2 linked regions of the Neodiprion lecontei genome follow. The protein of the gene in region 2 interacts with the protein of the main gene of each other region in a pairwise test. Links are inferred from orthologs where the notes say so. Each region holds a gene or a part of one and is shown on either strand. Other genes may lie near its edges. The genes, in order: ubiquitin-conjugating enzyme E2 variant 2 and translation elongation factor 2.

Evidence for each region.
Region 1: the proteins of translation elongation factor 2 (region 2) and ubiquitin-conjugating enzyme E2 variant 2 interact in a two-hybrid assay, tested with the Caenorhabditis elegans proteins (2 studies listed by BioGRID). The link is inferred for Neodiprion lecontei from reciprocal best matches to the Caenorhabditis elegans genes eef-2 and uev-1.

The regions. Positions count from the first base shown.
Region 1 is NC_060261.1:26,288,490-26,293,485, forward strand, and holds the start of ubiquitin-conjugating enzyme E2 variant 2, read right to left. Parts: upstream 3,045-4,996; 5' UTR 2,815-3,044; coding exon 2,790-2,814; intron 22-2,789; coding exon 1-21. UniProt on the Caenorhabditis elegans protein: Involved in protein ubiquitination, but has no ubiquitin ligase activity on its own. The uev-1-ubc-13 heterodimer catalyzes the synthesis of non-canonical poly-ubiquitin chains that are linked through Lys-63.
Region 2 is NC_060260.1:38,939,554-38,944,560, forward strand, and holds the start of translation elongation factor 2, read left to right. Parts: upstream 1-1,994; 5' UTR 1,995-2,146; coding exon 2,147-2,149; intron 2,150-3,251; coding exon 3,252-3,466; intron 3,467-3,596; coding exon 3,597-3,790; intron 3,791-4,093; coding exon 4,094-4,302; intron 4,303-4,414; coding exon 4,415-4,648; intron 4,649-4,930; coding exon 4,931-5,007. UniProt on the Caenorhabditis elegans protein: Catalyzes the GTP-dependent ribosomal translocation step during translation elongation.

The sequences.
Region 1 (4,996 bases), on a different chromosome or scaffold from region 2:
AGCGGAAATTTCTAGGGACAACTGAAACATAAGGCGATAGCTCGTTGAGGCTGACAAATTCACATTTACAGTAAATCATTACACAGTAAGATATTTACATCCTCTTATTGGTGTTTATGTAACTGAGGATTAATAAATCTTAGCATCACTACATATTCACAAATCTTCATGGGAATATTTAAGAATTTCCAGTAACACTACGCAAAGTTGTATATCGTTTTATTAGAAAAACAGTTGGAAGCTAAAATTATGAACAACGAGATCGGGTTGAAATTGGTGTTAAGTCAACATAACAAGACTAGGGTCAAATGTGAATCATTAACTTTCAGTTATAGAAAAATGTAGTCACTGCAGTTGTGAAACAAGTACAGCTTGCTGTTTCAATAATACCGGTGATAGGGAATAAATTTGCGAAAAAAAGCAGTACCCTCACTCTCGATGTGAAGCAGTGACAAAAACATTTCAATCACTCTCTTTCAATACTGTCACAAAGCACTTAGCATAGGGTACTTTTGTAAAAGTCGAAGAGCTTGGCCATGAGTGAGGGAAGCACTCGAGCTCAAAATAGGGGAAGCGGCACTATTGTCAGAGCACATTGTACATCGTATTTTTGAAATTCTCAAGTTACAATATAGCTATTTTTTTAACATGTAAAAAACATGCAAGTAAAGTTAATCGAGGTGAATTTCAGTGAAATCGTATTTTTCACATAGAAATATGTAGCAAATGTCAGTTAGAATAACCTAATTGCTAACTCCATAGTTTTTTCACCACCAAAAGCGTACTCAGCATTGTGTTGCTTACGTTGCAGAGTAACGAGATACCTATTGTTTACCTTATTAACCAACGCTGTCGGATGTTTTAGTTACTTAATAATCCGGCAAGACATGTTACAAGGTTAACTATAGATAACTCGCTGTGCTGCAACATAAGGGAGAAAACATATGGTAAAATTTATTTATCTCAAATGATACATACATAGTTCATTTTGTTCATGAAAAAATGAATTCTCTATGGTTCATTAAAGATAAATTACTGGCTCTAGTTACCGAGCAACTCTAAAGTTGTCTTACAAAATTCTAAGCTTCTGACTTTAAACTTCAAACTTTATCTTTCTGAAACTGTTGATGATCGTGATTGATCGATTTTTTCGGTGTAATTTAAATTTCCAGTTTTCAAACTCTTTTGTGTCGAAATGAAATTTTCTCAATTTCTGACCATTTTCATAACGTATATAATACTGGGCTTATACAAGGGTAATTGTTTTACAAAACTTCTTCAGTTAGTAAGACAATTTTTTCCAAAATTAGTACACATAGAAAAATATGTGATATAATTTTTCTAAAAGTTGGTCAAGCAAGTTGGTGTCGAAAAGTTGGTTGTATATTTGTTTTAATAAATCCTCGAAACTTCAGGCCCCTTAGGGGCGATTGTGTTTATTACACTCACATTGATTAACTTCAATTGCACCATTTAAAACATTTGAGATTTTTATTTGTATTGATTTTTAAGTAGATGATACAAGAAATGCGTCTGCAAGATCATTGGATGTTTAGTCGTTTATAAGACAATGACTTAAAAATTTTGGAAGAAGTTTAAGTAAGATACATTTAGTTCTATATATAAATTTTACTGAATTTGATAGCGTCATTTGCAAGTAATTAATCCTGAAAGATAATCAGTTATATACAGGCTCTAATGGTTTGTACTATTTTAGTTTCTACATGATCAATTGAGCTTTTCATTTACAACTCTGTACAAATTACCGCCTTATATTACAATTAAAACAAACGAAACTTAGAATAATTTAAAAGTTAGACAACTTTTATTATATAGAAATTTTTATACATTATTCTCCACCAGTTGAATTGACAATGTTGTATAAATGAAAACGATATCGTCGATGGTAAATGACGTGGGTACAGATTGTAGCATTTGTAGCTTAGTTGCTAGATAAATAATTGTGCAAAATTGTAATGCAATTAAAATTTAATTAGTCAAGCATACTGGGAACTAGGTCATGCCATTTCCTATACTCTGATCTAGTTTCATACAAAAACAAACATATCCATAAAAAATAAAACTGGACGGAAGGCCACTGTGTGCCACTACGTTTTCTATAGCTCAAAAATACATGAAAATGTTAGGCACGTCGTTAATAACATATTTTAAATATCAGATAATACCTAACATTTGTCTGAAATTAAAAAGCATATCAGAAAAGTATAAGGAGAATCGGTGATTAAGATCAAGGAAATAAGACATTTGGTTATTTCCAAATATGGAACAACTAAAAGGTAACGTTACAACACTAATGCTTGCAGTTTACGATACAAGACCACAAAATAATGAAAACATGTGTAATGGAGCGGAAGATGTTTGATGCATTTTGGTGGATACCAACGATGTGGATTCTTGACATCGGAGATATACGTCAACTACGACGACACATAGAGAAGACAGATCTAAACAATTTGACGGGTTGAACTGGTAAAGTATGAGAAAGGGGGTCGTCAAATAGACGCAAATGCAAAATTATGTATATTCTTCATTCGACTATGGTTACTTACGAACTAAGGAACGATATGCAATTAGGGGACAGGGAAAAAACGTGATCTGTCAGGTGACTAGTACTCATTATTGTGGAATTAGTAATTGGTTTCAGGTGGGAATATGATTATTGGATAGTTCGTGAGACTCTAGAATGGTCAGGGAGATCATTGAAAATGTACAAGTATGAATAATGAATCACGAAAATACGTGTGGTTAATACCACGATTAATACTGACCAACACCGGCCGTGGGTACCGCCATGATCTCAAAATTTGTGCGGCTTGATAAATGTTGGTTTTACTACGGTGTACAGCAATATTTTAGCGATATAACCACGTAATATTGAGTATTGCTTTTCTTACGATAATCTCACGACAAAACCTTCCATTACCTATACCGGAGGCTGACAAAAATCAAGCTCTCAATTTCAAAGTAAACTCACGTCGCAAAACTTCGGGCAACCTCCGGGAGGTTGTCTAATTACGTTGGTTATGTGGCAAGTGGAGATAGGCGAGCTTACAATCATTATCTGGGCCGACATTTTGTCCATATGTATTGGTGATGCTACAGAACTGTAGATGGCATTACTTCACTCACCTGTGACGTTGACAGCATTCCACGATGATTTCCAGATACTAGATACTAGGTTTGTTCGTGCTAGCTACACTTTCTACACTTTCGTGGGGAGTGTACACTTGCGCGTTTGTTTTAGCGGACGTGACGTCGGATGGCGCTGTTTGTTTTACAAATGTCACTAGACTTTTGTTACACTTTGGTCGTGTTCGAAAATTGACTGACATTGCTGTCAGCAATCTTTCATCTCTCTCGCGCTTCCAAGTTCGTGGATAGCTCTGACTCTGTCCTAGGGAATTTTCAGTACTGTCAGTCAATTTACGAACACGGCCTTTGTGTACACTTTTTACACTCGGTCGAGACTAAAGCACACGAAAATAAAATAATCTCGAATATAGGTGATGAGAGAAATTAATGACATTGTAGTCAGGGCAGCTAGGTGGTCTAATGGAGTAAGTCTCCGGTAAAGCATCTCTAGATACCAAGTTCGATTCCTGACTCCGTCGTTAATTTTTCAACTCACCTGAAAATTTTCGAAATTGTACTCTTTTTAGTATAAATATTACTGTTCCAGGTTACCGCCATTGCGAGAATCTTCGGAACCGATGCTACAAACCTATATGTAGGAACCATAATCCTTGTGAGTCATAATGCACCACTCCTAAGTGCATTCAGACATCGTGTGACGACGCATGGTCTGCCCGATATATCGTGGACAGAACGCCACTGCCTATACGACGAATCCGGTCGAAGCGAATACCTAAAGAGTATAGAATAGCGTAAAGGGCAGATCGCAGCCTGCCATTCCCGGACTTCCCGGCCAGGCGCCGGACCGACATATAAGATCGCTGCTCCAGCGTTGAGCCATCGCTCCGAGGACCGATTCCGCGTACCTGTCGATAGTGACTGTATCACGGAGTATGGAGCCATAATCCACCACTCCAAGTTGAGAGTTACTGCAAGTTGTTGCTCCCCATTCGGCAACTTTGACCGGGAGGTATCCTCCTTGCTCCACACATGCTTTTGCCATAGGGTCCCCAACGATAGGCAACTAGGAAGGTAAGGTGCCGGCAACTGAAAATTTTGTGAGAGCTGGTATCAACGACGAAATCATGAGCGGAACATTACGTGTCATCTATCGGTAATTTTTGAAGATGCGTAACACAATTACAACTGATATTCGCCACAGGAGGAATGACCCAATTATAGTGGGGAATAAACGACCAATTACAGGAAGCAGGATTACCTGACGACATCAGCGAGAACGGCGAGCCAAACCCCGACCTCCATCTATTCTACGCTCATGAGATTGAGATAACTCTTTCTATCTCGCTCGTTACGTGTAGAAATTGCCTTCACTTCATTTTCCTTTCCTTCTTCTTTACTGCTATCGCTACCGTTTCTCTATCGTTTTATATGACCGTTTAGCTCCTTTCCTTTTCTATTACCTTTTTTTTCTTACTATCGATAAATTTTATTTAAATTTAAATCAGTGCATGCGTGCCCGAGTCACCGGCTAAGGTAAGGGTTCTCCCGTTGTATTGTTTCGTTACGAAGTTGCTCGTATCTTGTTTTCTTATATCTTAATTCTCTATTTTGGTTGCATCGTGTTTTGCCAGTTTCTCTGTGAATCATGGTCCGCGTCTCTGAGTTGCTGTAGACCGTCGCGTGACTGCGTGATTTCTTTGATTAATTAATTCCGTTAAATATTATTGTTGAGCGACCTCGTAGCTACCGAATAAATATCTCTATCATCTGAATTTCTTATAATTTCATGCTGGAATCGCTTCCGTAATTTCTACCATCTTTTGCCATTGCTATTTATTTTTTCTCTTAATTTTCCTGTGTTTTACTGTTTATTGTATCGTAC
Region 2 (5,007 bases):
AATCAGCGATGCCAGGTCCATACAATATCCCTTCTGCTTCTTCGAAAAGATCGTGCTCAATGGATTGTTCAGTCCGACGAGCTGTCCTCGCCTCTTTGCTAGCCAGGGATGCCCGGCGGTTTGCTTGGGTGATGCGCGCATTCTTGTACTTAGCGGCGAAATCTGCGGCACTCGGCCCTATCGTGCATCCCATCGTGTCCAAAATTTTTAAAATTGGGTCGTAACCTTCATTGAAGGTGCACAAAGCACACTGCGTAGCGATTTCTACTATCTGCTTGCCGCAGAATACGTGCTTTGGGGCTAGTTGCCACACACAGTGATTGAAGCTCTCGTTATTGTTTTGAGTGTTCGCGCCCGGACATCGCTTTTTTTTTTTGAAAATTGAGTGCGACAAAAAAATAAGTCGCGCGACTAATTTACGGCTAATTAACGGCAAATTATGCAATAGTCCGAATTCACATTTTCGACAATTGGCGAGCCAAGTTCATGTACGTGCAGGTAGGAACGAGACAATAGAAATAACGGTCGCACGGGCAGCTGTAGCGCTCCGTTGCCTTCTTCCAAGAAATGCTTTACAGTAACCGAAATAATCTGAATTTCGGCATGAAAATTTCGGGGAATATTCGGTAGAGTGTATACTATTCGATATAGCAAAAAAAAAAAATCGATTTTTTGAAAATTTCACACTGGAAAGCTCCCTTAATACACACAACTGTGCACGGTGAAAAAGGAGAAGCAATATTAAAAAAAAAAAAATAACGAGGAAAAAAAAATTGAAAAATCATTAACGTAAGAGGATAAACAGCAATAGTAACTTCACGTAAAGTGTATATTGTATGCGTGCGCAATCATGCGAATTCGCAAAACTCGACGGGAATAAATCTTTACTATTTCCACCTTTTGAATGTGTTTAAGATATTTTGTTTTACCTCTGATTTTTTAAATTCAATCACAATTATATGAATATTTATTAACCGCTTATGTATACACGCATAATGTATTGATTTGAAAAAATATATAACATATATCTTTGCAGAAAAAAAATAATTTGTTTGAATAACTATTTGTTATTTCTTTAAGAATTCCTGACGTTATTTTGTGTAGGCTACAGATGAATATTTTTATTTTCAGCCGAAGGTGATTGCGATTTTATCGCAACATTTCATAGGATATGGGAAAATCATCTTAATTCGTTGAAGCCTTGTCGAACTTGTGGAAGAACCTTCAGAAATGACGCTTTGCTCAAACACGAACCGCACTGCAATGGCTCCTACTACAAAAAGAGGATCAGACGTTCTGTAGGAGTAAAAACAAGAAGGAAATGAAGATGAGATGCATATTACATTCATTTCAGTTCACTAATGCGATTATATACTTACAACTAATATCAGAATTTGAATATTTATGCTAGTACAATAGTACATAATACGTTGCAGACAAATATATGTAATCATGTTAATCGAAGACGATAAACGTTTATACTATATAAGAGAGTCGTAAGAATACAGGTTCCATTGAGATCATCCTGTACGTCGAAGCAAACCAAACATAGTAAATAGAGTTAAGAATATTGTTGCACAATATTACAAAACCTGGTGTGTTGCACGCAGATCATGCAGATTGACGAGTAAATGCAATGTAAGCAAAGCCGGAAGATAGTAATTGCGACGCGACGACGAGTGACGCATTAAACGTGAGACGAATATTTTTGGTTGGGTAGAGTCGGTTGTTGTTTGAAAAAAGAATAATAAAACTAGTGAGAAAAAAAACTAACATTAATTTATTTTTCTTATGTTAATTAATCGCGGATAACGCAACCCTAATCCTCCAATGATAGCATACAAGCTCATTTAGAGATTGGTTTGGTTGTTTCACAGCGTCAGCATCCGTCAGGTGGCAGCAGTTTTCCGACGCCGTTATATTTTTTGTGCATGCGTGAAAATCAGAGCTCTGATTGGTCGGATTTAGTGTGGAGAGTGTGTGTATTGCTACGCGCGCGCCATCTAGGACGTACGAACAGAGATAGTGACAGAGATAGCCCTCTTACTGCACTCTAGTCCGCTTGACTATTCTTTCCCAGGGAGTCCGCCGTTGTTGGCGCACGTATATTTCTGACCAGGCTAACGAAAATCGGACAACATCCAAAATGGTAAGTAGAATTTTAGCATGATAATGGATAAATCGAATTCCGCATGAATCGGAGAGTGAAATAACGTGTTTATTTTTTACACCCGAGCGTCGGGGAGTAATGAAAGAAATTAAAAACTCCAGGATTGCTCTGGATTGCGCAACCCTCCGAACGTCATTGCTTGAGAATGAATTACCATTCTCGACAAGGACCTATCCTAATAAGAATTACGCCGAACCCTCTTCCATATTCTTAACGGCTATATGCTTCCAAATTTCGTATGTCGAATCCGAACTGAACGATGCAAATCTGTAGAATATGTCGATCGCATCCCTCACAGACATTGCCCGACAACGTGTCACAAGCCAACATGACGATCCTCTTGCCATATTCACCAGTTTTCTCGAGTTTACATGCTCTCACAATATTGGCCGAGCCTTGCTTATACGCTTTATTAATTATAGCTTTTCCCACGGACTCTCCTACTTTTCGAAATTCTAGGCGATTAATTTACCAATATGGAAGAGAGAGTATCAATATTCCGGAAGAGAAATGAAAGTAGAAGCGGAAAAAATTTAACTGAAGCTACATATGGGTATATTTGTTTAATGGACGACCAACTACCAAACTTAATCATATCTATTCAGATACTAATCTTAGATTAGGATACCCGTCTCCAAATTAAACAATATGTTTGGAATCTTACTACGTAATATGTATTATATCTGACAAAAGCATACTAGGGATATCCAAGCTTTTCCAAATATTTGACCAAAGGAGGCAACCGTTGATAATTAACGGTTGTCTGGAAAATATTTTTAATCCTAACAGTTAGGATTGCAGTATGACCTTTAAACCAATTAGTTTTTATTTACTGTGGAAATATCTATTTATCTAATCATGCTTATGAACAGGCTAAGAAAACTCCTTCATTGTCCACTGACTACAGGCTATTTTCAATTTCATAATTTATTTTTTCTACCATAACTTTACATTGCTATGAGAAACATTTTGTTTTGTAATTACCTGAACAAAGTTGCCAATCATTACTAGCAGAGTTTAAATTAATTGAAAAATAAACTTGGCTTATGTGTATTTAAGAAAATTTATGATTATACTTTAGGTGAACTTCACGGTAGACGAGATCCGTGGGATGATGGACAAAAAGAAAAACATCCGAAACATGTCCGTCATCGCCCACGTCGATCACGGAAAGTCAACATTGACTGACTCCCTTGTTTCTAAGGCCGGTATTATTGCCGGTGCTAAAGCTGGTGAGACCCGATTCACAGACACTCGCAAAGATGAACAGGAACGTTGCATTACCATCAAATCAACGTGAGTATTTAGTTTATTTTTTCAAATATTGCTATTACAGCATTTGATAACAGAAAATGATTTATTTAAAAATTCGAATAGCTCAAATCTGCTACTGATATTACATTCATTTTACAATACTGTTCTTTAGTGCCATATCCATGTACTTTGAACTTGACGAGAAGGACTGCGTTTTCATCACGAATCCAGACCAACGTGACAAAGAAGAGAAAGGATTCTTGATTAATTTGATTGACTCTCCTGGGCACGTGGATTTCTCAAGTGAGGTAACGGCTGCTCTGCGTGTTACTGACGGAGCTCTTGTCGTCGTCGATTGTGTTTCTGGTAAGCTGGATTGTATATAATTTTCTGTACACCTTCCAGCACACCAGGGCAACTCTGTAGTGCGCCGAACAATTTTTCTTGAAAAGCTGTTCCGTGCACTTTGACAGTGTTTGCAGTGCATTTATGGAAGAAGATCAAATATGTCACTTTGTTTAAACGCTGTCAGTGGACCTCTATCTTTATGTCCGATACTGGCATGCTACGACCTTGTTCCTACAAAACAAATTAATTCCTTTGAATTGTGTTTGATAAAAATCACAATGACCAAGTTGTGTTGGATTTCAATTGGCTACTTTTCTGCAGGAGTGTGCGTACAGACCGAAACAGTACTTCGTCAAGCTATTGCCGAACGTATCAAGCCTGTATTGTTCATGAACAAAATGGACCGTGCTTTGCTTGAGCTGCAGTTGGAAAGTGAAGATTTGTACCAGACTTTCCAGCGTATTGTTGAAAATGTGAATGTCATCATTGCCACCTACTCAGACGACGATGGTCCCATGGGAGAAGTTCGTGTAAGTTATCCGTGCTGTGTGAAAAATACCCTAACAAATTCCACAATTCATCACCGTCAATTAATAATTTGTAGATTGAACCAATTAAAATATTAATTTTTCCTTTCTAAAGGTTGACCCTAGCAAGGGATCTGTGGGCTTCGGGTCTGGACTCCATGGATGGGCATTTACATTGAAACAGTTTTCCGAAATGTATGCTGAGAAATTCAAGATTGATGTTGTGAAACTGATGAATCGACTCTGGGGTGAATCCTTTTTCAACCCAAAGACCAAGAAGTGGAGCAAGCAAAAGGAAGCTGACAACAAGCGGTCCTTCTGCATGTATGTCCTTGATCCCATCTACAAGGTATTTCTAAAACATATTATGTATATTGTGTCTCAAGTTTATTGATTACTGAACGAAAGACAATGCATTGAAACAACAAAGTTTTCACTGTACTATCAATTGGTATTTCTAGAGTGTTATGCACATTTAGAATGCATTTTTATTCTTTTGTGTAGTCTAAAGTGACTAACAAACTGCAAGTATAATAGAGTATGTCAGTGTGATTCAGTTCTATGGCTATTTTAGTATTCGTTACACGAAGTACATGTTTACTTATGAAATATGTTTTTTTTTTTTTTTCAGGTATTCGACTGCATCATGAACTACAAGAAAGACGAAGCTGAGAGTCTATTGCAAAAGTTGGGCATCACTTTGAAGCC